Linked DNA regions of Canis lupus familiaris. The protein of the gene in region 1 interacts with the protein of each later gene in a biochemical or structural test. Links are inferred from orthologs where the notes say so. Each region holds a gene or a part of one and is shown in the gene's direction. Other genes may lie near its edges.

The links.
Region 2: of the proteins of ZAP70 (region 1) and LAT, one has a biochemical effect on the other in vitro, tested with the Homo sapiens proteins (2 studies listed by BioGRID). The link is inferred for Canis lupus familiaris from reciprocal best matches to the Homo sapiens genes ZAP70 and LAT.
Region 3: of the proteins of ZAP70 (region 1) and LCP2, one has a biochemical effect on the other in vitro, tested with the Homo sapiens proteins (2 studies listed by BioGRID). The link is inferred for Canis lupus familiaris from reciprocal best matches to the Homo sapiens genes ZAP70 and LCP2.
Region 4: the proteins of ZAP70 (region 1) and ERBB3 form a complex in vitro, tested with the Homo sapiens proteins (2 studies listed by BioGRID and IntAct, with this or other methods). The link is inferred for Canis lupus familiaris from reciprocal best matches to the Homo sapiens genes ZAP70 and ERBB3.
Region 5: of the proteins of ZAP70 (region 1) and SHC1, one has a biochemical effect on the other in vitro, tested with the Homo sapiens proteins (2 studies listed by BioGRID, with this or other methods). The link is inferred for Canis lupus familiaris from reciprocal best matches to the Homo sapiens genes ZAP70 and SHC1.

Annotation. Positions count from the first base shown.
Region 1 is NC_049231.1:45,972,259-45,978,160, reverse strand, and holds the start of ZAP70 (tyrosine-protein kinase ZAP-70), read left to right. Parts: upstream 1-2,195; 5' UTR 2,196-2,334; intron 2,335-5,902. Other genes in the region: C10H2orf92 (uncharacterized protein C2orf92 homolog), read left to right, coding at 96-246, 1,892-2,027. UniProt on the Homo sapiens protein: Tyrosine kinase that plays an essential role in regulation of the adaptive immune response. Regulates motility, adhesion and cytokine expression of mature T-cells, as well as thymocyte development.
Region 2 is NC_049227.1:18,622,007-18,627,866, forward strand, and holds the start of LAT (linker for activation of T-cells family member 1), read left to right. Parts: upstream 1-2,375; 5' UTR 2,376-2,734; coding exon 2,735-2,828; intron 2,829-3,007; coding exon 3,008-3,035; intron 3,036-3,148; coding exon 3,149-3,183; intron 3,184-3,461; coding exon 3,462-3,549; intron 3,550-3,683; coding exon 3,684-3,748; intron 3,749-3,839; coding exon 3,840-4,014; intron 4,015-4,094; coding exon 4,095-4,189; intron 4,190-5,580; coding exon 5,581-5,643; intron 5,644-5,782; coding exon 5,783-5,845; intron 5,846-5,860. Other genes in the region: SPNS1 (protein spinster homolog 1), read left to right, coding at 281-346, 610-708, 1,042-1,213, 1,493-1,587. UniProt on the Homo sapiens protein: Required for TCR (T-cell antigen receptor)- and pre-TCR-mediated signaling, both in mature T-cells and during their development.
Region 3 is NC_049225.1:42,543,071-42,548,424, forward strand, and holds the end of LCP2 (lymphocyte cytosolic protein 2), read left to right. Parts: intron 1-155; coding exon 156-233; intron 234-2,012; coding exon 2,013-2,168; intron 2,169-3,679; coding exon 3,680-3,802; 3' UTR 3,803-4,426; downstream 4,427-5,354. UniProt on the Homo sapiens protein: Adapter protein primarily involved in signaling pathways within T-cells, as well as other immune cells such as platelets, mast cells, and natural killer (NK) cells.
Region 4 is NC_049231.1:764,138-769,491, forward strand, and holds part of ERBB3 (receptor tyrosine-protein kinase erbB-3), read left to right. Parts: intron 1-35; coding exon 36-101; intron 102-242; coding exon 243-361; intron 362-465; coding exon 466-607; intron 608-946; coding exon 947-1,060; intron 1,061-1,153; coding exon 1,154-1,274; intron 1,275-3,488; coding exon 3,489-3,562; intron 3,563-3,741; coding exon 3,742-3,832; intron 3,833-4,070; coding exon 4,071-4,276; intron 4,277-4,483; coding exon 4,484-4,616; intron 4,617-4,997; coding exon 4,998-5,088; intron 5,089-5,305; coding exon 5,306-5,354. UniProt on the Homo sapiens protein: Tyrosine-protein kinase that plays an essential role as cell surface receptor for neuregulins.
Region 5 is NC_049228.1:42,485,830-42,491,973, forward strand, and holds the start of SHC1 (SHC-transforming protein 1), read left to right. Parts: upstream 1-2,725; 5' UTR 2,726-4,383; coding exon 4,384-4,857; intron 4,858-5,451; coding exon 5,452-5,522; intron 5,523-6,082; coding exon 6,083-6,144. Other genes in the region: CKS1B (cyclin-dependent kinases regulatory subunit 1), read right to left, coding at 950-1,008. UniProt on the Homo sapiens protein: Signaling adapter that couples activated growth factor receptors to signaling pathways. Participates in a signaling cascade initiated by activated KIT and KITLG/SCF.

The DNA of each region.
Region 1 (5,902 bases):
TCAGATCTGCTGGAAGCCGAGCTAATAGGATGTCCCTGCAGATCTATCAAGGGCTGTCTCTTTCTGTTTACTTTGCCATGTGTCTTTTCATCTAGATACTCAAGATAAGAATGTGCCATGTACACAGCTTCTGCACTTTCTCCAGAGGAACATCATCCTTGCCGCTGCCTCGGTGGCGGGAATCCTCGTGGTCACAACGTTGTTGCTGCTGGCATTGACCACGTGCATCAGGAGGAAACGGCCATTGTGAGTGGCTCTTAGCTCCCATTTGCTTCAAAGAATTCATGGGTATTTGTGACAATGGAGCCCCAGAGCTTCTTGCTAATCCTGGAGTTAGGAGGAAGGCAGGGACATCTAAGCCTGGTTGTGTAGTCATAAAGTACAATGGCCCAGGCTATGAATTTTTAAGCATTGTCTTGGTGGTTTTTTTTTTTTTTTTAAGATTTTTTATTCATTTATGACAGACACAGAGAGAGAGGCAGAGACACAGGCAGAGGGAGAAGCAGGCTCCATGCAGGGAGCCCGACATGGGACTCGATCCCCGGTTTCCAGGATCACACATCCCAGGCCGAAGGCAGCGCTAAACCACTGGGGTTGCCCTGCCTTGGTGGTTTTGATGCGTAGCTGGGTATGGCTTGGACCCTGCTTGCCTCTAAAGACCTTAGGTTAGGCTACACCTATTTCCACACTGAGGGCCACTAAATGAGGAGATGGTACAGCCTCTGGCTGAAAGATTGGAAAATAAAAATATGAGGGCAGGGTGGGATGAGGCTGTGGAGGAGACGAGCTCAGGGCTATTTGGCCTGTTCACAATGGGTCAGCAGTATTGGTTGTTAGAATATTGAAAGATCCCTCCACTGGTCCTTCCCAGGACCTCCCACAGACTTCCCAGTCTTCCCCAGGATCCTGCAAATGAAGGGTTAATGCCTGGCCCAGCAGTGGCCCTCCAGGGCTCTGCTCTGACAGTAGCTACTTTATTTGACTACTGTCTGTCTGTAGCACTTATTAAATATATCAAATATCCACCCCACCCCACCCCACCTAGCCATGAGAGGGCTCTGGCACAGTGGCCACAACCATGGGTAGGCACTAGAAAGTAAATGGCTTACAAGATTAAACATTTGCAGTAATAGCACCTTGAAATTATGTGCCTCCATCTGTATCTCTTGAGACACACTGCTTAATCACAGGGAAAAGCAGCTTCCCAAGGCCCCTCGGGTCCTCCCTAATACCGCATTGTGTATTTGGCCTGTCCACAGGGAAAGGCGGCTGTGGTGTGGCATGGGAGGGTGAAGTGTCCCGCCCCACCCAACTTGGAGGTAACAGTACTTAAATTTGCCCACAAGAGTGACATTGCTTTCCCTAAAGGAGTTCTTTAAACACCAAGATTCCTGGGACTGGTAACTCATTCAGGCTAGCCAGGACCACCTCACATCCTGCTTCCTCCTCTGAGACAGAACTGGGTCCCTGAAGTGAAAGGGGAGCCTAGAATGTGGCAGGAGTTAGAGATGGAAGATTTAAAGAGCTTCTGGAAATAAGATTGACCCACTTCACAGTTCTTACTGGGGCTTATCTAATCAGATTTGTCACTTCCCTTCTGTGCCTCTTGGAGGTATCAGAAGTGGTCAAGACTGTGCTTCCGTCCCACAGAGGCAATCTGTGGAGAGCCTGTGTTATCAGAAAGTAGAGGAAAGGAGTTTCCCAGAGGCTTTCTGGTGCCCAGAGGCAAAATAAATTTCACACATGACAGACCTCCCTGATGGGAAGTAGAATGCTCATCCCTCAGAAACAGCCCCCTATATCACCAGCCAATGAGTAGACAGTAGGAATTCCTGTCCAAAAATATGGACAGAAAACCAAAAAAATATGGTTTTGTGTCTTTTTATTTTAGACATCCTCCGGCAAACACGACGTATAATGTTTTTATTATGAGTGGGAAGTCTTGGTGGCAAAAGTATCAAGAAAAGAACCTCAGAAAACACAGCGATAAACAGAAACAGTTGTTGAAGAGCAAGTCCCATATCTAAGCCAGGTGGTGTGGCCAGCCAACGCAGGACTGGAAGCTGTGGTGCCAAGCAATTCTCCATCCAGACACTGTGGAGAGGCATTTGGATTTCTGGCTGTGAGGTGTGCTCTACAAAATGTTTACCTTCTCAGTGCGATCTTGAATGGACCAAGGAACAAATGTTTTACCACAGGATGCTTGTAGTGTGGTGCGGCACTCATGGCTAGTGCAGGAGACTCAGCACATTTGCCAGAGGACAAACCTGACCAACTCTGGGTTGACTGATTTATTAAAGCATCAATTCTCTGATTCAGCCATTCAGAGAGCAGGTATTAATTGAGCACCTGATATGTAGACAATCTCAAAATACATGAGGTGACCAAAGATGCTGGAAGCAGGCCTGGCCCTCGCAGGTTTCCAGGAGAGGGCAGACAGCTGGCTGAAACTCTGTGGTGGTGGACTGAGGCCTCTAAGCTCAATGGCAGGAAGGGTCGGGAGGGGAGAAGGGGTGGGGGACGCCTGGTGTTGCAGGAGCCGGGAGAGGCTGCCAGGGTAGCTCAGCAGCCCGAGGCCCTGCGCTGGAAGGCGGCGTCAGCAGAGCGGGACGCCCTCTCTGCAGGGCCGGGGACGCAGGGGCCTGCCCCAGGGCTGGGCAGGGGCGCCTGGATCCTGCAGCCTCCCCTTGGTCTGCGCCCCAGCCGCCACCCGAAGGGGCTGCACACCCTCTGCGGCCCCCCGGGGGGACTGAGATGGGGGGAGGCCGCAGGGAGAGGACCCCGGTGGCAGTCGGGGAGCAGGAGGGCCGTGGCCTCCGCAGAGGGTCCGGGTCCAGGCGGGCAAGGGCTCGGGCCTTGCCCGGCTGGAAGGCATCGGGGTGGGGGGTTCGCCTGGATGTGAACCGGGCTCTAGGGAGGCAGGTGCCTCAGGAGGCGGGGCGGGGTGGGGGGGCACATCGGAGGGACCCGCGGGGCCAGCCGGAGCAGATGCAGAACTGGGGGAGGACCTGGGTGCGTTGGGGAGCATTAGAGGCGGGAGGCACGGCGGGCGCTCACCCCTGCGCACGCAGGAGGCCGGGCTCCCGGGTGCTGCTGGCCAGGCACCGGTGGCTCTTGTTCAGACACTTAGAGTTTCCCCGGATGCAGGCTGAGCCTGCCCTTCCCTCCACTGGAGAAGGTTCTTTACAGAAGCTTCTTTAAATCTTTGCTGCGGCCTCGGCGCTCCCTTCCTGGCTGGTGCGCCGCTGCAGTAAGTCTCCTGGGGCACCTGCAGTCTGGGACCCATCCTGCACGTTAATAAGCTGCACTTGCTGAGAACCTATTGCGAATGTAAATTCCTTGAGGGATGATTGTCATCTTATCTCAAGAGAAGGAAGGCTCAGAGACGTAAGGTCACCCGTTAGAGGTCACATAGCTAAGAGGGCAGCCTGGATTCTAATCCAGCCCCGGGGATCCGCTGGAGTAGCCCAGCTCGTCACCCTTCAGACCTGCTGAGGAGGAATTAGTAGGGAGGATTTCTAGTCTCCTTTTTTTGGGAGGTGGAGTGAGTGAAGCTGTCCCCAGGGATAGAGGAGTTCTGGAAAAGCAGGCCTGGTGGGTGGCTTACATCAAGGACTCCCTTCGGGTTTTCCCAGTCATATGTTTTTTTTTGTCTGCTCTCCCAAAGTGGGGAAGCCCTCAAAGCTTTAAGCCATGGGGAATTGGAGGACAAGTCAAGGCCAGGCTGGATCTGAGTGGGGCATTCCTCTGTATCCCTCTCTCCTCGGTGAAAAATCAGCCCACTTTCTTGTTTGAATCCAACTGTGGCTGGCTCAGGCCTTGGCCTGGGTGATCTGGGTGATGGACCAGCACCAGGGAGTCACTGTGACTCTTTGGGTCCAGGTTAATGCCCCTGACAAGCCCTGCTGGCTTCAGCTCTTGGCAAACTCTGTAGACCCCCTAAGTATACAGCTGACTCCAGTTCTAAGGGACTTCCCTTTGAGAAGTGGGATCCTCTGTCCTCTTTTTAAGCCACCCCCACCCCCGCCGCCGCCAGACAACATGTTCCTCTCTCTTTGAACCAAATCCTTTCAAGTTTGAGAATTTGATGTTGAATCAATGGCTGTAGAGAAAGACAGGCAGTGAGAGATACCTGCTCATGGCAGGTTTACTGGGCTTTCCTGGGGGCAGCTGATGGGGCAGTCTGAGGGCAGAGGTAGCTCAGATGCCTAAAGGTGTCTGGTGGTCCTACATAAGGAAAGAGTCCTAGAGCTCTGGAAGCCCTGGGCCTGTCTTGTGCTGGTCTGAACCATCCTTCTAAGCCCCCAACAGTGTCACCACTGAGCAGGGAGGAGGGACAGAGGGACTTCTCAACTCCAGGTATGTCCCATGCTTGGCCTCCTGGGAGGCTGGGCCCAGTGGACTCCAGTATCGGTCCCGCCTTGACCTTCTCTGAGCCTCAATGTCCTCATTTTTGCCATGGGGGTAGGAATTTACCTCTTTCATAGGGCTGTAGGTGGTTCATTCGGCAAGAACTATTTATTGAGCACCTGCTGTATGCCAGGCACTGTGCTGGGCTGGGGGCATCGAGGAAGTAGAAAAGGAATTAGAAAAGCCTTCCTGGCAGTGGATAGCTGGTGTCCCTTCAACTTGGAAGGAGGTAAGGCTGTCAGGGCTTAGGTATACAGCAGGCACACCGTAAATACCAGACTCTTCCTTGAGCAGCTGATAGGTTGCACTCCCACCCTCATCCCATCCTCATCCCATCCTCATCCCATCCTCATCCCTACCTCTTGGGACCCTAGAACCAAGAGGCAGCCCACCCTCCTGTTGGCCTCCCACCCCACCCCTACCAGGCTCCCATTTAAGGAACAAGTTCAGGTCCGTGTTCTGTACAAAAGATTCACAGCAATTGTGTTTTAGTTTCGAAAAGGCAAAAAAAAAAAATAAATAAAAAGTTTATTGTTATTATAGAAACCTAATAGAAACAGAAGAGGAAAGGAATCTATACACAGATGAAGGTAACAGTAGGCAAGAAATGAAAATAAGGCAGGGATGCCTGGGTCGCTCAGTGGTTGAGCACCTGCCTTCGGCTCAGGGCATGATCCTGGGTTCCCAGGATTGAGTTCTACATCAGGCCTCTTGTGGGGAGCCTGCTTCTCCCTCTGCCTATGTCTCTCTTTCTCTCTCTCTCTCTCTCTGTGTGTGTCTCATGAATAAATAAAGAAAATCTCTTTAAAAAAAAAAAAAAGAATAAGGCAAAGGTACACCAGATCAGGTCCTTACAATATCCAGACTCATAGCTGGGGAAGCCCCATGGAAACAGCCAGGCTGAGCCCCGATTGAGAGGCCTGGACAGAGTGTCCTCTCTCAGGTGAGACTTCCAGCTGACCATCCCCATAAGGGCTGTACTTATAGGGCAGATAACAGAATTTGAAATTAAACATTTGTTCACCTCCGTGCAGTTTGGAGCGAGCTGCATTTCCATGGTATCATGTTTTTATATTTTCAAGGAGCCGAGGCTATGTGTGTCTGCCTCAGCCCATCCTGGAGCAGGAGGAGATGTGACACAAGATTTGTAGCTCTTGGCATCCAGAACAGAAGAGCCAGTTCTGACCTGGAGGCCAGATGATATATTTTAAACATGCTCCCAAGATTATTCACAAAGCACGAGTCTCACAAACAACATTCTTTGGACTGCCTGTGTATATGTGGGCCTAGGTGGTGGGTTATGTGGGACAAATCACAAAAACATTGATCTATACAGAACAGTTAGACACCTGTAACCTCTGGATTAGTGGATCCATTGCCTATGGATGGGCTCACTGAGAGCCTCCCCTTTCATTTCCCTCTTCCTCTAGAGTTGTCTTCCTGTGTTCTTAGTCAGCTGTCCTGCTGGGGCCTTTCACCTTCAGCTCCATGG
Region 2 (5,860 bases), on another chromosome or scaffold:
GTTTTCAACCTCAGGTATGGCTCTTCCCAGCTGTGTGACATTGCATTAGGCAAGTGAGTTAACCTCTCTGTGCTCAGTTTGTCATCTGTAAAATAGGAATGATGACTTTAAAAAAAAAAAAAAAAAGGAATGATGGCTTTGTCTCACAGGGGTATTCTGGGGATTTGATTAAGTGAGTTAGTAGATGGCCCTGGTACATAGTGTACCCTCCATGTGTTTGCTCTTCTTGTGATGAGACAACCTCTTCACCACCTCGGTCTCCCCATCTCCAACCCCTCAGATTTTCATCTTTATTGGAGAGACACTGCTGTCCATGAACTGGGCCATCGTGGCTGACATTCTGTTGGTGAGTAGGTGGGCCGCTCAGGGTTGGCCCAGAGGCTGACGGAAGTAAGGACTGGGGGCAGGAGGCCTCGCTTGCCTTCCCTGTGGCCTGTGCCCCTTTTCCAAAACCCAAATCCAGACTGACTTCACAGTCAGCCCCAGATGGGCCTGTAGTTTGGGCGTGTGCCCCATTTATACTCCTGACCTGGGTTCACCTCTGGTCTCAGCCTGGGCTGAGCCTTGGCCCTGTCTTTGCCCTCTGCCCCCTGCCCCTCCTCTCCCCAGTACGTGGTGATCCCCACACGACGTTCCACTGCTGAGGCCTTCCAGATTGTGCTGTCCCACCTGCTGGGTGATGCTGGGAGCCCCTACCTCATCGGCCTGGTGAGCACTGCCCCTCAGCTGGGCCTGGGGTGGGGCTCGGGGACACTGAATTCCTGGCACCTGCCAGCAGGCAGCGGCCTGAGCTTGGGCCGACATAGAAGGTTTGACCCCAGTTGGGTGTTTGTGTGTTGTGTGCTAGGTACCCCTCACCTTGGACCTTCAGCCGGGCATCCAGGGTTTTGTTTGCACCTTGAACAGTGGGGCCACAAGACCTTCCCCAGTCCTCCAGACTGCCCCTCATTGCCGGCTCCTGACACCTCTGTCCTTCTGGAGTCCAGGGGCTCCCTCTCTGTGGCTCATTCTCCTGGCACTGCTTTACTCGTCTCTCTGCAGATCTCCGACCGCCTCCGCCGGAGCTGGCCCCCCTCCTTCTTGTCCGAGTTCCGTGCCCTGCAGTTCTCGCTGATGCTCTGCGCCTTCGTGGGGGCCCTGGGTGGGGCAGCCTTCTTGGGCACTGCCATCTTCATCGAGGGCGACCGCCGGCGGGCCCAGCTGCACGTGCAGGGTCAGTGGGGCCTTCCCTTTGTCCGCCCGTGGCTCCTTGCCGACTTCAGGATACTGCCTGCTTGTCCATCTGTCCCAGCCCGTGTCCCTGGCTTCCCTGAGCCCACAGCCCTTCCCTCATTCGGCTTTGGGTCTGCCTGGCCAACGAACTGATATCCCACTGTGCTCATGGCTCTGGTGGGTCTGCTGGCCCTGTCCACTTTCCACTGCCTTTCTGTCCCCTCCCTGTTTTTGTGTCTTTTTGTTTATCCAGCCCTGGCTCTGACCCCTCCCTCGGCAGGTCTGCTGCGTGAGGCTGGACCTGCAGATGACCGAATTGTGGTACCCCAGCGAGGCCGCTCCACCCGGGTCCCTGTGTCCAGTGTGCTTATCTGAGGGACCATCGCACACCAACCTGCATACGTACCGCAGCTGGCCCCAGGCCCACCCCAGAAGGTGCCCAGGCGCAAACCCTCGGCCTGGCCTGGCTTCTAGGAGTGGCTGTGGGCCATGTTCCGGCTCCCACACACTACACAGGCAGCAGCCAAGGGCAGGGTGGGGAGGTTCTGGGGGGTCTGGGAGGGGGACTCCCCTCCCCTGGAGCAGCCCCAGGGGCTCGGTGCTATTTGTAACTGAATAAAATTTGTAGCCAGACCCTGAGTGCCTGCCTGAGTCTCTGTGGGTGTTACTGACCTCTGGTTGTCTGCAGGGGATGCCCCTACTCTGGCCCCAGGACTCCTGGGGCTATGGGGTCACTTGTGTGGGACCTTGGGCAAATCCCTGCCCTCCTGGGCCGGGTGAAAAAGAGTGCGGAGTGAAGTAGCTCAGTGTGACTGTGAGTCACGCCCATGGTTCCCCTCGAGCCTGCCCCTCTTGGTAGGCCAGCCAGGGTAAGGTAGGGTGGGTACTGCCCCGTGCCCCTTGATTCCCAGCGTCCGGGCCTCCCTCCTGGCTGCCCCCTTGAGTCCTGGCTGTGGACGCCATGGCTGTCGGGTGGCCTGTAACTATCTTGCCCTCCTTCCCTGGTAGGAATAGCTCTTTGTCCCGGAGGCCAGCAGACCCCTCCTGAGGACCCAGGGGTGGCTCCAAAGGCCTCTTCCTCCCCCTCCCCGCTGGCTGGGTGGGGGTGGGAAGGGGGCGGGGGCAGCCGGCTGAGCCCGATGATTTCCTGCCCTCACCCGGGGCTCACCACAGCTTCCTGCCACAGGCGGGCAGGCTCTGAGAGGCAGGCGCCTAGCCGAGGGGCAGGTAGGGCTGGGGCGCGGGGGCCGCTCAGGGGTGACTGGCGCCCCAGACTCCGGCCCAGACCCTGGTCGGTCTGCCCTGGGATCACGGGTCTTCCCTAGGCAGTGCCGACCCCTGCGAGGCCCGGCAAGGGGCAGGGGGTCCAAGGAGTGCCCAAGGAGGGCACAGCCGGCCCGCAGTCAGGCTTCCAGGCTGGTGCCCACTGGGTTCCCGCACCCGTGCTGGCCCAGCTCACACCCTGCCGCAGCTCAGCGTGCTGGGCGGCAGGCAGCCAGGCCTGGTCCAAGCTCTGCTGCAGATGGAGGCCGTCGTCCTGATCCCCTATATGCTGGGCCTCCTGTTGCTGCCCCTCTTGGCCGTAGTGCTGTGCGTGCGCTGCCGAGAGCTGCCAGGTGAGTGCGGGCTGCCGGGTAACACCGCTCTCAGGACATGCCTTCGGGGATCTTCGGCCCTCCTTGACCCCCTTGCTCTATCCTACCTCTGTCCTGCGTGTGTGAGACCTGAGAGCCCTGCGCTCCCACCCTCTCCCCTCGCCACCCCTCTTCCTGCCTCACTGACTTCTCTTCCCCAGGCTCTTATGACAGCACCGCCTCTGATAGGTGAGTTGTCCATGGGCCCTGTGTGGCTCCCTCACTACCCTGTGTGACCCTGGGGGCTGGGATGGGAGCTGGGGCCTCTCCTGCCCCTGACCAAGCTCTGTCTCTCTTGCCAGCTTGACCCCAAGTAGCATTGTGATCAAAAGACCTCGTGAGTACCTGGAGGGTCCCCTCCCTTGGGTGTAGGAGAGAGGGTCCCTGGCGCATGAGAGATTGTGTGCCTTTGTTCAGGTCCCCCCTCCTGCCTTCCCTCCACCGTGGCTGCCCACATGGCTTTGACCTGATCTGGGACTAGGGAGGGAGATGGGTGTCCTCGGGCCTGTCCAGGGCACAGGAGGTTTCATGGGGCTAGTCTATCCTTTGAGGCCTCAATGAGAGTAGGGGCAAGATGTCTGGAGTCACTCCTTGTGCTTGGTCCTGTGTCCTCAGCTACAGTTGTGCCCTGGCCATCGGCCCCATCCTATGGGCCTGTTACCTCTTACCCACCCTTGAGCCAGCCGGACCTGCTTCCCATCCCGTAAGTAGCATCCTCCCCCTTCACAACGCCCTCTTTACCCGGCTCACCTCTGTAGATTGGGGGTCCCCTTCCCTGTGACAATCCGCTTGTCCCAGAGCCCCACCCCAGCATAACCTGTGACCTTTGACTCCCAGGAGGTCCCCACAGCCCCCCGGGGGCTCCCACCGCATGCCATCTTCCCGGCAGGACTCAGATGGTGGTAAGTGTGGAGCCGGGCTCAGACGGCTGGGGCTGGGCAGAGGCGAGACCCCCTCTGAGCTGACTGTCTCCCTCTTGCTCTCTCTCCGAAGCCAACAGTGTGGCGAGCTACGAGAACGAGGGTGCGTCTGGGGCCCCGGGGGCCCTGGTTGCAGGGAGGCTGGGGCCTGGCCTGCGCCCTGATCGCTGTGTCGTTACCCCAGAGCACCTCTCCTGCGAGGACAACGACGAGGACGAGGAGGAGGAGTATCACAACGAGGGCTACTTGTGAGTGGCCTGGTGGGCGGGCTGGTGGGGACCCTGGCCGGAGGGGGGTCCTCACTCACCGCCCCTCGACTCCCCCTCAGGGAGGTGCTTCCTGACAGCACGCCAGCCACCGGCACTGCGGTCCCACCGGCTCCGGTGCCCAGCAACCCCAGCCTCCGAGACAGCGCCTTCTCCAGTGAGTTCCCGGGCGACTGTCCCTGTGGCCGCCCCTCCGCAGTCTCTCCTCTCTCTAGGACGCCTGTCCCTCAGGGTGCACTTCCACTCCGACCTCCTGATTTCCTTTCCTTCCCATCCTCTTTCCTTCTTCGTGGTCTTTCCCTTTTATTGTTTGCGACCTTTCTCTGATTCACTCTTCTTCTGGCCTCTGTTCTTCGGTCTCTCCCACCCGGAGGCTCTCTCTTGGCCTCTGTTCCTTTCTCATGGAGGCCACATCATCTTGTAAATCTTATAGGTTGTCTTCTTCGGCAGGGGCTTTGGGAAGTTTTCTTCTGCTTCCGGCATCGTTTCGGTTTCCTCTGAGCTGCTTTTCTCCCTTCGCGTGGGTCTCACGCTGCCTGTTGGAGGCTTCCTCCCGCGCCTGGCGAGCTTAGCTTTCCAGCCCTGTCCTCATTCTCCAAACCTGTTCGGCCCATCCGGTGCCATTTGCCAACTCAATCGCCAACTCGCCATCTGTGCCAGGGCTTCTTTTCCTTCATTTGTTCATCCCCTGTCCTTCCCTCCTTCACCATATTTACTGGGCGCCTCTGATCAAACAGCTCAAGAGGCGGCGTCAGGATGAGGCCTAGTGTTGTCGGGAGCCTACTCCCTGCCTCCTGAGTGTCTGGTGCACTAACTTATTAAACGTCACGGTTCCCAGGTGCTGTTGAGCCCACGTCTCCCCATCCTGCGCCTCGGTTGTCCCGACTGTACGACACGAGGGGTTATTTATTTAACGGGCCCTCGGCGGCACTTGCCGTAGGACAGGCCCTGTTTCCATATTCTCTGCGTTAGTTCTCATGACACCCCTGGGAGGGGGTGCTGCTGCTCACCCTCTTACACTGGGGGGAACAGCGAGGCCCAGAGAGGTTAGGGACCTCTTGTGAGGTTGCACGACTGTGAGCGCTGGCGCCGGGCGTGAACCTGGGCGCTCTGGCTCCAGAGCCCGCCTTGTCCACGGCCTCGTGGAGGAGCAAGTCGGCATGAAAGGGCAAGACGGTGCCGAGCGCCAGGGCCTGGAGGGCACTGGGACGAGATTGGGGGTGCAGGGCTGGCCTGGCCGGCGGCACCGGTGCCTCAGCTCTGAGCCGTTCTCCAGCCTCACCCCCAGCCTGGGGCACATGCTGGCAGGGTCTGCCGTCCATTCTCTCCCACAATTCCTCTCCTTCTCATCGGTTCTGGCCAAGTTACCCTACTTCTCTCCATCACCCAGGCCTCTGTGGGACCCCCCCAGGGCTGGCTATGGGGTGACCTCTGAGGTCTGTGGGTGGGAGTTTGGGGCTGGTCTTGTCAGGAGTCCAGTGGGGATGCCGTGGGTGCCTGTGCTCGGCCCTCTGGGTGACGGTGCCGGGGGCCCTGCTTCTCCTACAGTGGAGTCGGGGGAGGATTATGTGAACGTCCCTGAGAGCAAGGAAAGTGCAAATGCATCTCTGGGTGAGTGGCGGGGGGGGGGGGGGGGGGGGGGGCTCCCTGGAATCCCCCTTCCCTCCCTCACCCTGCTGTGACCCCCTCTCTGAGTGTCCTGCTCTCTCACCCTCCACGTGGCCGCCTCCTTTCTCATCCGTCCCTGCAGATGGGAGCCGGGAGTATGTGAATGTGTCTCAGGAGCTGCCGTCCTTGGCTGGGACCGACCCTGGTGTGTGCTGGCCAG
Region 3 (5,354 bases), on another chromosome or scaffold:
CCTAAGTGATTCTATATTCAAATTAAGAAAACAAACATTTCAGAGCTCATGGAATTGAGGTGGTGATTTATGAAAATGATTACTTGGAGACTTTTCTTTTCACTTACATATGTAACCGCAAAATTTATTCAGTTTTTAAAAATTTACATTTTCAGAATTCATTAAATGAAGAGTGGTACGTTTCTTATATTACCCGACCAGAGGCAGAAGCTGCTCTTAGAAAGATAAACCAGGTACTGTGCTAAAGTTTATTTTTAAGTAGTTATAAATATTGATGGAAGGAGAAAAAGGGAACTGGCTTTTATTGAGGACCACTTATGGGCTAGGAATTCTGCTAGGTGATATTCATGCTGTTATACTAGGGGGACCCATTAGTGACAGCTTTATACCTACCAGCATCCATAGCAATGATTCCTAGGATCTGGGAAAAATCTAAGTTAAGGCAGTCATTCAGTTGGCAGAATCTGAGAAGACTTTATTAACTAGAAAGGTCTGTCTTGTCATAGGAAGCATAGCCTTATCAAAAGGAGACTCTTTCCCCCAAACTTTGAACATCTTACTGATTCTATCTTCATTTTTAATACACAATTGTCATCTACACTGATGTGAAGGGGTCCATATGGAGAGAGACAGCAGAAACTTCATGCCCTTTCCCCTAGAAATTTCTAGTTTAACCAGATCTCCTGTGGTCTGGTAAGAACCATAACCTTAAATCTATATATCAGAGAAAGAAAAACAAAGATCCTTCATCTCTCAAGTCTTGAGTCTACAAGAATAGTTCTCAATCTTAGATGCACATTTAAATCACCTGGGGATCTTAAAAATTCTGATTCCTGGGTTTCACCTGGAGGGATTCTGATTTAGTTAGTTAGGTGTTTTGTGTGGGTTCTGGGAGTCTTCAAAACTCTAAATTCTAAATTCTGACTGAGAATGGGTCCACAGTTATATTTGTTGAATAGAAGATGTTCTGAATGGAATTTACTCAATTGAAATAAAAAGAACAAAGGAAAGCCATTATTGCAGATTGATGGCTATTTAAAACCATCATGATTTAATACACAAACGAGGGAGTAGTTTAAAGCTGCCTTACTAATTAATCCTATTTTAATATTAGATCTTTGTAATATTAATGTTATATAGCAATAATTTATGGAATAACATTTTAAAGTACAGGACAAATCACAACACTATTTTAGTAAACAGAAAAAAATGGTTAAGAATGCAAGATGGTCCACATTTATTTATGGTCAGGTGTTTTTTTTGTTTTTGTTTTGTTTTGTTTTGTTTTCTTTTTTTGGTCAGGTGGTTTAATGATGAATGTTTTACATGGAGATCACGAGGTTTTTAAATGGATGAATTTCATAGGCATTTGTGTGTTTTCTGACTTTGGCTATGAAAGAAAGGATTAGGGAATTAGCTCCCAGGAGTAGGAAAACAGATACTTAGTTAACCAATAAAGTCCTTATTTTGTCTGGCCCTTTATCCACTCAACCACTTATTATTTGTCTTATTACTACTGAAAAAACGATGTATCTTTCATCAAGGGACTTCAAAGAGGTCTCTGAAATTTGGAAATTTCTCTAATACAATCTTTGCTGCCTCTTGACAACCAAATCCATGGCACATGGGACTGTAACCGTTCAGGGAACTAAATGTTCACTGACTTGTCAACTGGTTACGTTTCTAGATCTTTAGAGGCTTGTCTACTGCTCTTACAGGCAACACAGACGGTGATATTTACTGAGGCACCTGGGTGGCTCAGTCAGTTATGCCCACTCTTGATTTCAGCTCTGGTCATGATCTCAGGGTCCTGGGATGAGCCCTGTGTTGGGCTCTGTGATCAGCAGGGAGTCTGCTTGAGGATTCTCTCTGCTTCTCCCTCTGCTCCTCCTCTTACTCATGCATGCACACTCATGTGCTTTCTCTCTCTAAAATAAATAGGTTTAAAAAACAATTAAAAAGGAAGTATTGACATTTGCTGCTCACATAATAACATGAATTTATTCTTTTAGGATGGCACTTTTCTGGTTAGAGACAGCTCTAAAAAAACAATAACTAATCCGTATGTCCTCATGGTGTTGTACAAGGATAAAGTTTATAACATCCAGATCCGTTATCAAGAGGAAAGCCAAGTTTACTTGTTGGGAACTGGACTCCGGGGGAAAGAGGTAAGAAATTTCAGTTGCAAAATTTCCTCAAATCCTCTGTTTATGCCATTTCACATACCTGTCAATATGGAACCTTACTGTAATATTCTTTGGGGATCCATACTGTATGGCACTGTTAGAGTTAAATTTCATTGGTGAAGTCCTTCCTTTACTGGAAGGAAATAAAACAAAATGACAGTAGCTACCTGTGCCATGGAGTCTTTCTTATGTCTTTTATTCCAAGTAGTCTAAAATCACACGTATAACTTATAAATTAAAAAAAATAATATTTGAATTTAAAAACTGATAGTGTCAAAGGTAAGTCATTTCTATCATTCACCTCTGTAACATAATTTTAATGTAAGATTGAAGTGTACTTATAAGGCTGTATTGACATTTAGAAAAGGGTAAAGAAACAAAAGCAAACCCAGAATTCTTGTTGTGGTGATTATTTAAATACTTGAGTCCTTTTTCACTTAAAAAAGAGGTTTGGCCAATGAAGGTGGCCAATCTGCCAGGGAATTTTTCCTCTGTTTAGCCAATGTTTATGCTAATTACTTTTTGGATGGCAATCAAAAAAGCTGCTTTTGCAAAGGAAACTAACAGCTAAACTTAGGCTCCAAACATATTTTTTAAGTTCAAAGTTCCAGGAGGAAGATCAGCTGAATCAAACATTTCCAGAATGAAAACCAGATAACTCTTAATTTCTACTTCACTCCAAATATTTTTAAGTTATGATTATGTAAATGAACAGGAAAAAAAACCCCACATGATTCTGATCAGATGTTTCAATCGCTGGTTCAGTGTGGATAGAGCTGCAAAGCTGCTATAGAGACAGAGATGTCTGCCCTCTAGAACTTCTGTTGGTCTGGTGTGAGAAACATAAGTAGAAACCATACATTGCAGCTGCCCTTGAAAGAGGCGCCAGCAGAGTAGTTTTGGAGGAAGTGCATATCCTTCCTGGGGTACCTATGTGATTTTGATCTATGTCTAGAGGGATGCATTTTTTTTTTTCCAGTCTGGCCATTAGGGATAAGATGATGAAGGCAATGGTTGCAAAGACTTGGCTGCAGAGACTTTGTGAATGTCAGGTGGCACTGAAGACATAGCAGAGGGATCATGAGGGAACCATTGTGCAATGCTATGGATATCAGCTCTAGACACTGGGACACTGACTTCCTGATTTCTTATACCTCATCACACTATTTGTGACTAAGAGTGAAGTAGGGATACAGAAACCAAAATAAAAAACACAGAGTAATCCTAAGGCAAATACACACACATATATATAGTCTTTATCCATAATTTGTTGCTGTTGATGAATTATTTTTTCAAAATTCTACAGCAGAAATCATTAAAATATTTGCGAAGTATTAAATATTTTTTCTTACCATCCTCATAACTTGTAGAGGTAGGATATAATGCAGGTAAAAAACAAAACAAAACAAAACAAAAAAACGAAAAAAACCTGAGGGTTAAATTCATGCTACTCATCCCAATGTTGATTTATCTCCTTATTTTGAATTTTTCAGGACTTTTTGTCTGTGTCAGATATTATAGACTACTTCAGGAAAATGCCACTTCTGCTCATTGATGGGAAAAACCGAGGCTCCAGATACCAGTGCACATTAACACATTCTGCAGGTTATCCCTAGCGAGTTAGGCAAGCAAATGAACCTTGCTCCTGCCTCTGTTGCCAGCATGGGAAGATCAATCAACCTTGGTGAACGGACAAACACTTAGGACTGAATCAAACCCCTCAACATGAACACAAGGTTTTGACCTTTCATATAAAAAAGTGTTTGAAATGAAGACTGTCAAATATATCATAATTTATTTATTCTTCTTCAATGTTTGTAAGCATGAGTAATACTGTTCACACTTGAAGTCTAGTAGTGCACTGTAATGATTCATTTAAAAAATGTGTATTTTGAAATATTCATTTCAAAGTACAGTAGTTTGCATAGCTACAGAAATAATTTGAGGCAAGATTAAAAACACTGAAACAGTAATAGTTTTTGATATCACATAAAACTGATTTTTTAATAGCTAAACCTTTGTTGTTAGTCAGAGGCAATCATCAGTTTTATATATATGATTTGAAAATTTCCAAATTTCACTTTCTTGGCAGCAATAATTTAAGAGGCTTAAAACTAGTTCATCCTTTCTTATTTGTTTCTTTTTTTTTGCTGGGGGCATATTTGTGTACTTTTTTATGAAAAGATAAATGCATGATGCGATAACTTCCTAGGATTAAAATTAATTTACCTTTTGCTTTACTTTTGTGTTCTTAAAACTATTGACTTTGTTTAGTCCATCCTATTATATTTTTGTTTTAAAGCAAATTTAAGCTGTTAATACCACAAGTAATCATTTTAAATTTAGAGATAAGGCTTTGGTGTCAAATATAGCTGGATGTAAGTTCATCACATCCCAACACCCACATTCCACCTCCCCTGCAACTCCCACAACTCCAAAAGCATTTCCAAGTGATGTCGATTTTATCCAAGTCTTCCAGCAAAGATGAAAGAGCAATGCATATACATAGAAAAATGTGACCAGACTTTCCTATTAGATGCCTTTCTTCTATCTCTTTTATCCCCTGACAACTCTACCATAAAGCCCTTCTCATTGTCATTCCTAAAAAGGCTTTATAAATCCTTTGAAGCAATACAGCTCTTTCCTTCAGCTTACTCATCCTACTTAGCAGACAGTAGTAGGTGTTCAGCACAACAAAACCAGGCATTTGGTTGTTGTTCTTCAAGTTTTCCCCTTTGGGGCTCTGTTATTATTCCACAAATTTTATTAACCACAAAAATTTTTGGCTTCTCTAGTTAATCTGCAAGTTTTCTGAGTGGCCAAAAATATCTTGCACCTTCATTTTCATAAGTTTATTAATAGAACATCAGAAGGGAGCTTAGAAGTTACCTGGTTAAAACTGATAACTTGCTAAGATAACAGGTATGTGGAGACTTTTAACCAATGATGATAATAATGTTTCATCAAGCTTCATCTTTACAAACTGGTAGGTCTCTAGGGTCCAGAGCTAGAGAGTTCTAAAGTTGAAAAATCTGCATTCATTTACATGCTTATGCAACAGGATGTCAACAACCATTTATTTAGTGCCTAATCTGTGTTAAACACTGACTTGAGTGGTGAGGACAGCAGACACTGAGCTGACCTTGTGTCTTGGTTTAGGTTACATTA
Region 4 (5,354 bases), about 45 Mb from region 1:
CAACGGCCCTTTGCGTTGCTTTCTTTCCCAACCAGGTCCCCCGTGTCATGAGACCTGCAAGGGGCGATGCTGGGGTCCTAGACCAGAAGACTGCCAGACATGTGGGTTTACTCCCCTCCAAAAACCTCATACACTTTTAATATCCCTGCCCGCCCCGACCTATGTCAACACCGGGGGTAGGACAAGCCTAGACTAGAGGGCAAGAGTCAGAGCCCTGACTGCAGTGCTTCTTCTTTCTATAGTGACCAAGACCATCTGTGCCCCTCAGTGTAATGGTCATTGCTTTGGGCCCAACCCCAACCAGTGCTGCCATGATGAGTGTGCAGGGGGCTGCTCAGGCCCTCAGGATACAGACTGCTTTGTATGTACCACTGTTTGCCTGGTTCTGAAGTGGGGATGTGGGCTTTGGGGAGGAAGTAGGAATACTTACATAATGTGAGTTTTATGAATTTCCTATGTTCCTAGGCCTGCCGACTCTTCAATGACAGCGGGGCCTGTGTGCGCCAGTGTCCACAGCCTCTGGTCTACAACAAGCTAACTTTCCAGCTGGAACCCAATCCCCACACCAAGTATCAGTATGGTGGAGTTTGTGTAGCCAGCTGTCCCCGTAAGTGTCTAAGAAGAGGAACAATGATAGTAGAGCCAGGGTTTTAGAAAAAATTTTAGGAGATATAGGGATCAAGTTGGGTGGTAGAGGATGTAGGTTGTAATCTAATCACCTCCGGTGAATCCTCTCCCCACTGTCCTGTCTACTTCCCATGATTTCTAGCAACTGCTCCTAGTTCTGCAACAAAGAGCAAAGAGCTTTTCTCAGCCATAGGACAGCGTTTAAGGAACCTTGGGTGGTGGTTTGGGACAGATCCAGCACAGAGCAGGAGGGAGCAAGGTTCAGTTGCTCGTTGGCAGTGTTCCTCTCTTGTCTCTCATGGTGCCCTCCTCTCCCTAGATAACTTTGTGGTCGATCAAACGTCTTGTGTCCGGGCCTGTCCTCCTGACAAGATGGAAGTAGATAAAAATGGACTCAAGATGTGTGAACCTTGTGGGGGGCTGTGCCCCAAAGGTGAGTAGGAGATGGTGAAGAGCTGGTGAAGAGAACTTCCTTTCCCCAGAGACCAATCAGGCTCCACCCACTGAGCCTCTTTTGTGTTTGCAGCCTGTGAGGGGACAGGCTCCGGGAGCCGCTTCCAGACTGTGGACTCGAGCAACATTGATGGATTTGTGAACTGCACCAAGATCCTGGGCAACCTGGACTTTCTGATCACTGGCCTCAATGGGTTAGACTCTGCATTCCCTCTCTAACCCCCACTCCATCCATCCTCTCACGGTTCATTGCATTTGGCTCAACCCTTCATATGTGCAGCTGATTAGGAATACGAATCACAGGGGCACCTGGGTGGCTCAGTCGGTTAAGCGTCTGACTCTTGGTTCCAGCTAAGGTCGTGATCCAGGTGTCGTGAGATCAAGCCCCGCATCCTGCTCTGTGCTTAGTGTGGAGTGTCCTTGAGATCCTCTCCCCCTGCCTCTGCTCCTCCCCCTGCTTGCTCTCTCTCTCTCTCTCAAAATAAATAAAAATCATTAAAAATAAAAAAAATAAAAGGAATATAAATCATGAAATTTTAAAGGTTACACAGTACCTGACCATTCCTAACTCTGTCTGCCACCCAGGACTTGAATCCCTTGAGACCCCCCCCAAGGAATCTGATAACTGTCTCACTGCACGGCAGTGGACAAAGAAATTGTGTTCTCCTACTACTTTTTTTGTTTTTTGTTTTCAGATTTTATTACATCTATCTATCTATCTAACCATTTATTTGATAGAGACAAGGAGGGGGAGCTACAGAGGGAGAGGGAAAAGCAGGTTCCCCCACTGAGTAGGGAGCCCAATGTGAGACTTGATCCTGGGATCCTGGGACTGTTACCCGAGGTGAAGGCAGACAGCCAGCTGACTGAGCCACCCAGGCACCCCTTTATGTAAGAGAGAGAGGAAGAAGGACGCCCGGGTGGCTCAGCGGTTTAGCACCTGCCTTCGGCCCAGGGCGTGATTCTGGAGTCTCAGGATCAAGTCCCACCTTGGCTCCCTGCATGGAGCCTGCTTCTCCCTCTGCCTGTGTCTCTGCCTCTCTCTCTCTGTGTCTCTCATGAATAAATTTTTAAAAATCCTTTAAAAAAGAGCGAGGGAGAGAGGGAATCCCAAGTGGGGCCATGTCAGGAGCACAGCCCCACGTGGAGGACCCTGAGATCATGACCTGAGCCGAAATCAGTCCAATGCCTAATGGACTGAGCCACCCAGGCGCCCCTTAAGATTTTTATCTTTAAGTTATCTCTATACCCAACGTGGGGCTTGAACTCAACCCTGAGACCACGAGTCGCATGCACCACTACTGAGCCAGCCAAGTGCCCCTGCCCGAATCAACTTACTTTAAGAAAGATTTTATTTATACACACACACACACACACGTGTGCACGCTTGTGCACGTGTGCGGGTGTGCAAGTTGGCGAAGAAGCACATGGGGAGGGAGAAGAAGGGGGAAAGAATCTCAAGCAGATTCCACGCTGAGCACAGAGCTGGCCTGGGGCTCCATCCCATGACCCTGGGATCAGGACCCCAGCTAAAACCAAGACTTGGATGCTCAGCCAACAGCCACTCAGGCGCCCCCTGAATCAATTTTTAAAAAAAATTTATTGATTTATTCATCAGACACACAGAGAGAGAGAGGCAGAGACACAGGCAGAGGGAGAAGCAGGCCCCATGCAGGGAGCCCGATGTGGGTCTCATCCTGGGACTCCAGGATCACTCCCTGAGCCAAAGGCAGAGGCCCAACTGCTGAGCCACCCAGGCATCCCCTGAATCAATTTTTTGATGAGAGTTGCCACATGATGATTTTTTAACTCCATTATTCCTTTTGCATTTATTTGTCGGCATTTTAGTGTTAGGAACAGTTTTCCTTTCCCATTGATTGATTGATTGGTACCTATTTCACTCAGTCCTTTATAATCTTTTACAGTTATTATTTTGGTGTTGATTTGTCTCTGTTCTGGCCACTGGGGGCTTCTTCAAGCCAGATCCCAGATTCTTTGTACCCTTCATTCTCTGAGCACTTACTTCCTTTTTTGCATAAGATGCTATAAACTCATGTTATATTTCTCCCGCCCTACTCATTTCTCCAAGGAGCCCTGTTTCCTTTTAGTGGAGGATGGTATTAGAATGAAGTTCTGGGCAGCCCGGGTGGCTCAGTGGTTTAGCGCCACCTTCAGCCCAGGGAGTGATCCTGGAGACCCGGGATAGTCTCACGTCGGGCTCCCCGCAGGGAGCCTGCTTCTCCCTCTGCCTGTGTCTCTGCCCCCCTCTCTCTCTATGTGTCTCTTATGAATAAATAAATAAAATCTTAAAAAGGAAAAAAGAAAGAAAAAAGAAACTTAAGTTCTGAGGCTAGGTGTGACTGGGTTGTACCTGTATCTTGTTGACTGGTTTTGACTGTTCTCTCCAGAGACCCCTGGCACAAGATCCCTGCCTTGGACCCTGAGAAGCTCAATGTCTTCCGGACAGTACGGGAGATCACAGGTGAGTGGGAAGAGAGGCTGCTACCCTTTCTGAGAGAAATGAGTGAACCACTGACACAAATTGGTGTATAACTAGTTACAAAGTCATGTCCCAAGTGATGGGAGAGGGGCCACTAGAACCTGAGAAGGCAAGAAGGGAAGACTCCTTCCCCGCTGACGCGCCTCTCTCCAACCCGTCAGGTTACCTGAACATCCAGTCCTGGCCTCCCCACATGCACAACTTCAGTGTCTTTTCCAACCTGACAACCATTGGGGGCAGAAGCCTATACAAGTGAGTAGTTAGGAGTGTGGTGGTGGTAGTACCTCCAGGCAATGAACCCTGTTTCTTAGGCATCTTTGAGTGAAGCACACGTGTTGTCTCAGCATGCCCAAAGGGCTGAGAGTTGGAAGGGGAATCTCTCTTCCCGGTCTGACTGGCCCAGAGCACATTGGTTAAATGAAAAGGAATCCACTGCATGGTCATTTTCCCCTGTGTAATCTCCCTTCTTACCTCGTTTCCTTGTTCTCAGCCGGGGTTTCTCTTTGCTGATCATGAAGAACTTGAATATAACATCTTTGGGCCTCCGATCTTTGAAAGAAATTAGTGCTGGGCGTATTTACATAAGTGCCAACAAGCAACTCTGCTACCACCATTCTCTGAACTGGACCAGGCTGCTTCGGGGGCCTCCAGAAGAGAGGCTGGACATCAAGCATAATCGGCCCCGCAGAGACTGCGGTGAGGGGAAGGGCCCAGAGGGTGGCCGGGAAAAAGAAGTCAGGGAGGAGAGGGTACAGTGTGTAAAAACTGTTCTGCTCAGGAGTAGGGATCAGAGGGTAGAGCCAAGGAGAGGGGTGTGTTAGGCTGGAGGCACTTAAGAGGAAGAGCTCAGCAGAAGGCACGTGAGGAGAGCTGACTCCTCCTGTCTCACCCCTTCCTTCCCAGTGGCAGAGGGCAAAGTGTGTGATCCCCTGTGCTCCTCTGGGGGATGCTGGGGCCCAGGTCCTGGTCAGTGCCTGTCCTGTCGAAACTACAGCCGAGGAGGTGTCTGTGTGACCCACTGCAACTTTCTAAATGGGTAACACTGAGGGGAGAGAGAGGCACGAAGGGGTGGGAGGATGGGGCCCTGGGATGGATGCAGCTATTCAGCTGGTACCTGAAAGCCTTTAGTCCACTTTCTTCCTTTTTTAAAAAATAATTATTTTAGAGGGCGGGGAGGGGTAGAGGGAGAGGGAGAGAGAACCCCAAGCTGACTCAAGCCCCGATGAGAGGCTTGATCTCACAACCCTGAGCTAACTGGACTCGAAACCAAGAGTTGGATGCTTAATTGACTGCATCACCTAGGCGCCCCTAGACAAGTTTCTGCATATGCCTGGGTGGGATCGAGCAAGGGGACCCTGTGGTTGGACATAAAGGTCAGGACTTATAAGTGACCCCTTCCCTTTACCCCCCACTGCAGGGAGCCTCGTGAGTTTGCCCATGAAGCTGAATGCTTCTCCTGCCACCCGGAGTGCCAACCCATGGAGGGGACTGCCACATGCAATGGCTCGGTACAGTAGCAACACCAGGATCTCTAAGGGAGGAAGAGCATGGGCAGTACTAGAAGGTCTTGAGAATGATAATGGCCAAATCACAAGGCCAGCACAAGGAGGCCAGATAACCCTAGGGTCTGTGGATGGAGCATCCTGAATCGCTGCGTTGGTCCTTGCTGGGATGGGTGAAGTTGGCCTTGGGATCCCATTCTTCCCAACCTTCTCTTCCACCCAGGGCTCTGATGCCTGTGCTCAGTGTGCCCATTTTCGAGATGGGCCGCACT
Region 5 (6,144 bases), on another chromosome or scaffold:
ACTCTGAAAAGAGTTGCCATGAGACTCCTCTTGGGAAACCCCAGGTTTTCCTAACCAAGGATAAATCTCCTTTCATGGCAAAAAAAAAATCCTTACTCTCACCTGAGTTGGGCTACTCCAGATAGACCCCATCATGCTCAGGGAAAACACAGTAGGTGTGTACTAGTAGCAAATTCTTTCACAAACAGCGTCTTCGATCCCTAATCGGACCCGACCGACGCCCCCCAACGCCAGCGCCCGGACTTACAACTTCGGGGAGCTGAAACTAGCTCTGCAGAGGTGGCAGCGCACAGTCAGCGGCGGAAAGAAACCTAAGTGGCCTGGGTCCCCCAAGGGTCAGCACACGCCGAGTCCCCGGAGCCCCGCACTTGGCCGGGAAGGAAACGCAAGCCTGCCAAGTCTCCATCCCACGTTCTTCCAGGAAGAAGCCAAAACGGCACGCGGGCAGCATCCTCGCTCTTCCCTGGTACTCCTCCTGGAGGGGCGGCGCTGCCTCCGTCACACCGTGCCCGGGCGCAACTCCCGAGCCTGCGGCGCTGCGTCGCCGGGTCAGACCTTCCCACGAGCCGCACGCCCGCGCCCCCTTTCCCGGATCGTTCAGCACCGCTGCGGCCACTTCTTTCCAGCACGCCCCAGCGGGCAACCTCCACGTGCCCGGGGAAGCTCCCAGAACGATCCAGAACCCCGCATGGTGCGGGGTGCGGAGGCCTCGAGCTCTAGGCACGCCCCCTCCGCCCGCTCCCCGGCGCGGGACACACTGCGGTCCGCAGCTGTCCGCGCCCTCTCGCCGCCAGGCCCTCGCGCAGGCGCCCTGCTACGCTCCGCGCCCGCGCCCCGGGAGTCCCCCGCGCATGCGCCGGTCCTGTTGCTTCAGCCCCGGTGACTAACTCCTCTTGCCCTCACTTGTCAAAGTTCACGACCTCGTTATGGCCCCCGCGGCGGCACTAACCGGTACTCGAACTCCTCGTCGTCGTATTTGTCCGAATAGTAAATCTGTTTGTGCGACATGATCACTCAGCCTGAGGACCGTCAGGCCCACTCCGGCAACCTCCAAACAACTCCCAGCAGCACGCGCTCCCACCCACTTTGGCCTAGCTTTCAAACACGCCGCCCGCGCTTCCTATTGGACCCCATGGTTTAAGGCGGGACTACTCCACCTTCAAGCCGCCGATTGGTTTAGATTTGCTTCTGTTCGAGTCCTTATTGGACCGCGCTGCTTACGTTAGTCAAGAATGAGCGTAGGGAAAAAATATGCCTCTAATTGGCTATTCCTGCCCCCGTGCGCGTTCTCGCATTGCCATTGGCTGATTCGGCAAAGTGGGACGGCTGAAGGAGGGACGCTGAGGTAGAGGGTCAGGGGTTAGTGAGGCCGGAAGTGAGTGCAATAAAGTTTCTTCAGGGAGGCCAGGCCGGGGAGAAAGTTGGAACGGCGACCTAAGGAGGCAGTGGCGTGATCCGGAACCAAATCGAGCCGCGGTGCGGTGCGGAGACTCCATGAGGCCCTGGTGAGTTAGGTCTTCTCCCTCTCCTAAGGTGACCCATTCCTCCACCCCGGAACCCCTCTCCCGGGACCCTACTTCCGGTCTTCATGTGCAAGTCCCGCCCCCTGAGACCCCCCTCCCCGGAAGTCCCACCCCCATCTTCAGGGGGCTCCCCGAACCCCGACTTGTTTTCTGTGTATTGTCCACGACCCCACCCTGCTGCCCAGCTTTCCTGGAAGTCCCACCCCCGAACATGCTTCCAAGTCCGACTGTGAGAAACCTGACGGTAGTTCTCTGAGTTCCGATTCTTCGCCTTCTGGCGACGGGTCCCCCAGGAGGCCAGAGCCCCGCCCCTCCGAGGCCCGGCCGAGTGCCGGCAGCCCCGCCCCAGAGGCTACGCCTTCCGAGAGGCCCCGCCCCCCGCCTGATGGCGTCGGGCGGTGCTGTAGCCTCGCCTCTTACAGTGCCCGGTACCCGTGATGTGGGGCCCATTCCCCCTGGGCAGCGTCCAGAGTGGGGCGGGCTCCGCCCCTCGGAGCGCTGTGGTAGTCCCGAAGCCCCTTGCTGACACAGCTTCTCTTCTCCTTGGGCTTGGGGCTCAGCTCTGCGGAGCCAGTGCTTCTGCTCCAGCAGGTGGGGCGAGCCGGGCGAGGTCAGGGGCCGCCCTCCGCCTCCCTTGCCCCTCCCCCTGCCCCGCGGAGAGGGGCCTGGACTTGGGGTTTGGCGCCAAAGGGGCCGAGAGACTTGCTCCTGGGTTCCCAGCCCAGGACAGACTCCGCCCCAGAGACAGCTGTAGGGCTAGCACCCGCACCTCGGGAGCTGGTAGGGCCGTGAGGTTGGCGTGCAACCTGCGGGTGCACCAGGAGCTAGAGTGTCCTGCTGCCTGGAAACGGTGGCCTGGCGTGGGTGGAGGGGACAGTGGCCTTTTTGCTGTTTGAGTTTTTTTGTTTGTTTAGTTTTTTGGAAGGGACTCCCCAGCCCCCGCCGCTTCTTGGGCTCTTCCCCTCCCCCCCAAGCAGAGCTCTTGTCTGGGCATTCCTCCTGGTCCCGCTTGCCCAGCCTTCCCTTCTGGAAACATTCCTGAGGCTTTCGCCATTTCCTGCTACTTGCCTCCTCCTCCCCGCTGGGCTGAGAAGCCTGGAGCAGCTCCTCCCCACACACCCAGCCACACTGACTCCCTGTAGGCCATCTCCTTTCCTATGCAAATTTAAAGAGCCCGACTTCCTCCTTCTTTCCTTCCTAAGGCCCACACCTGTGGGCGGGTCCTCGCTTCTGGATTGTGCAGACGCCGGCAGGGGAGGACGTCCTGGCCTGTGTGCAGGGGCTGCAGAGGCCAGGGTAGAAGCCTTTCCTCCATCCCTTTAGGCCAGAGAGCTAAAGGCCAGGGGAGAGAGTTGAGCACAGTATCTAACACGATTTGAGTGTTAGTATTATTAGCTACTAGTTTGCATCTTTGTATCTTCTGCAGTTTAAGAATAGGTAATTCCAAGGTGAGCATAGAGGTTGTATTTATCTCTAGTGCTTTTTTGGTGACTTTGCCTCTTCCTTCAAGGTCCCCTCTAGTGGAGCTGGAAGCTGTGCAGAAGGGATGGGCCCCAGCCCGTCCCTGGCACCCCGGCTCAGATTTGTCTTCCTCTCCCTCTGTGCTTTCATGGCCTGTCCTTTCCTCTCCCCACTTCTCTTGGAGAACTGTTGTACTCTCCCACCTCCTCCAGTGAGACTCTACCCCTGGTGTTGGGTGCACTGTGCTCCCTGGGCACACCTAACCTTCTCCACTTAAGAGAAGGAGTATGAACATGCCTGGCAGGACCAGGAAGCCAACCCTTGTGTCAGTGCCCTGTCACCTATGTGACCCAGGAAGCCGACCCCTGTGTCAGTACCCTGTCACCGAATTGCCCGTGACAGCCTGCTTTGCTAACTAGACCTGTGGGATGGGGTACAGAAGAGTGCTTGGCTGTGGGCTGCTGCCCCTGGCATGGTAGGTGCCAGCCATGGAGGGCAGGACTCCATCAGCCCGTCCCAGGCTCCAGTTCCTGCCTGAAGGTTCCCTGGTGCACCACCCAGGTTGGACTTTGTTCCCGTTACTTCTCCAGCTTCGTGCTTCCTCTTGGGCCTTCCCTGCGTCCACTGGGACCACTTGGATGCTTTCCTCTTCCCTTCACCACCTGTTCCCAGCTGTGGTAGCAGAGGGCGCTAATGGCCCAGGCTCCCCAGAGCCACCACCCCACGGTGTGATAGGGCTGGAGGAGGGGGGGCATTCCAGCAGGACAGGAACAGAAGTGCTGAGCTCAGGGGTCCCCTCCTTTCCACTCCCAGCTCCCTCTGTTTCCTGTCCCGGTCCCCCTACCCTCCCGCAGCTTCCTGCTCCCTGTGGCCTGCCCATGTCCTGTGTGGATGGATCCAGACCTCTTCTTATTTCCCTCCTTTCCTTCTCTTTCCCACATCCTTCCTTCCCACTCCACTTTACTCCTCCCCAGATTACTGGTGGTTTGTCTCGGGGCAGGGTGGGGGCACCGAGAGCTTTATCCCTGCCAGAGTTCTAGGCTGGGGCTGCTGTGGGGGCTTAGCCCCTTGGAGCCTGTGAGTCAGCACTGTCCTCGGGATTGGTCTCTGGCCTTCCCTCCCCGCCCCTGGGGAGGAGCCAGGCTGCTTCTGGTCCAGCCTGTTCTCTTCTCCGCCTGGGAAGAGGCTCCACGCTGGGCGGGGGATGGGGCCTGAAACTATCTGGGTCTGAGCCTGGGGCCGCTGGTGCCACTTGTCACTCTCCCTCCCCAGGATCCTTGAGATCCCTGGGCCATAGAATCCGAGCAGACTAAAGGCCTGGGGATGCCCCTTGCCTGGCCCCCTTGCCCTGACTGGCAGGGGGGCCAGGCTGGGCAGCAGCCTCCCTCTCACTGCAGCCATGGATCTCCTGCCCCCCAAGCCCAAGTACAATCCACTTCGGAATGAGTCTCTGTCATCGCTGGAGGAAGGGGCTTCAGGGTCCACCCCACCGGAGGAACTACCTTCCCCATCGGCCTCCTCCCTGGGGCCCATCCTGCCACCTCTGCCTGGGGATGAGAGTCCCACTACCCTGTGCTCCTTCTTCCCCCGGATGAGCAACCTGAAGCTGGCTAACCCAGCTGGGGAGCCAGGAAGGGCCTCTAAGGATGGGGAGGGGACTGGAGGGGCCGCCGTGCTGGACTCAGCCCCCCTGCCCCTCCTCCAGGACATGAACAAGCTGAGTGGAGGAGGCGGGCGCAGGACGCGGGTGGAAGGGGGCCAGCTGGGGGGCGAGGAGTGGACCCGCCACGGGAGCTTCGTCAATAAGCCCACACGGGGCTGGCTACATCCCAACGACAAAGTCATGGGACCTGGGGTTTCCTACTTGGTTCGGGTGAGTGAATGTCTCCCATTCGGTCCTCCCTGCTCCCTCCCAGACTCCTTCCTCTGCTCACTCCAGCTTTGCCGAGCTGGGAGCCTCTCGTTTTCTGCTCTTGCCGGTACCTCCCTTGGTTTCAGGATCGCTTCTCACACCTCTCTCTTCCCCTTTCTTATTCTGCGGCCCCTCCCATCCAGCTCTGCCTGGGCCCCTTACTTCTGGTGACTCCCCCACCCTGCCATGCTTAGCACAAAGCCCAGCACGTTGCCACCCTTAGTAAGTGTGGGAATGAGCGGTCCTGATTGTATCCTCCAGCCTCCTCCCTCTGGGGATGTCACCTTCCCCACCCCCCACCCCAGTGCCCATCACTGTCCTCGAGATCCTCTTCCCAGATGTCCAGGCCCTCCTGGCTTGCTCGATCCTCCGCCCCTCATTTCCTGTGGTCTGGCACATTGTGGGTGTAGCCGCAGGCTGTGGGCAAAACTTGGTCTTCACTCTTCAGAGTCAGCCTTTTGGCTAAGATCAAGTGTAGGAAGCACTCAGGGGAAAGGCCTGGGACTCTTTTTGTGGAGGGGGTGCTGACTCGTTACCTTCCTTTCCTCCTTTCAGTACATGGGCTGTGTGGAGGTCCTGCAGTCAATGCGTGCCTTGGACTTCAACACCCGCACCCAAGTCACCAGGTTAGTGGGGAGGGGGCAGACTGGGGATTCCTGAATTAATGAGGGGAGAGGGGGTACATAGGGGAGTGGGCTCCTGGATCAGTGAGTATAGGAGGGAGTGGGTCTTGGTCACTTGCTAGTGATGGCTTACCTTCAGGGATAAAGGATTGAGAGAAAGTTAGGGGAATCAGTCTAAGTCTGAATGAAAAGCAGCACCTCTCTGGTCTGGGACCTTCTTATTTATCCAGTCCTGTGTATGGTGGGAGAGGTGGCAGAGGCAGCTGGCAGCTGGAGCCTGAGTATAAAATGGGGTGGATGGAAGATTGCTGCTGCCTTTGGGATGGAATGGGACATTTGGTCGCTGGAAGTAGGTGGGGCCAGACTCACAGAGGCCCTAACCCAATCAGCCAGGAAGTGGCCTCTCCGTGTCATCAAATATTAAAGGCCTTTAATTCAATCCACCATGACAAAGAGCCTGGAGTGCCCCTGAAGTCTGGCCTGGTCTTCCCCTCCCCCTGCCCTGTGGCAGCCCCAGCTGAGTGGGAGGCAGGCTGTGGGTCTGAGGACCCCTTTCTCTCCAGGGAGGCCATCAGTCTGGTGTGTGAGGCTGTGCCCGGTGCCAAGGGGGCTACAAGAAGGAGAA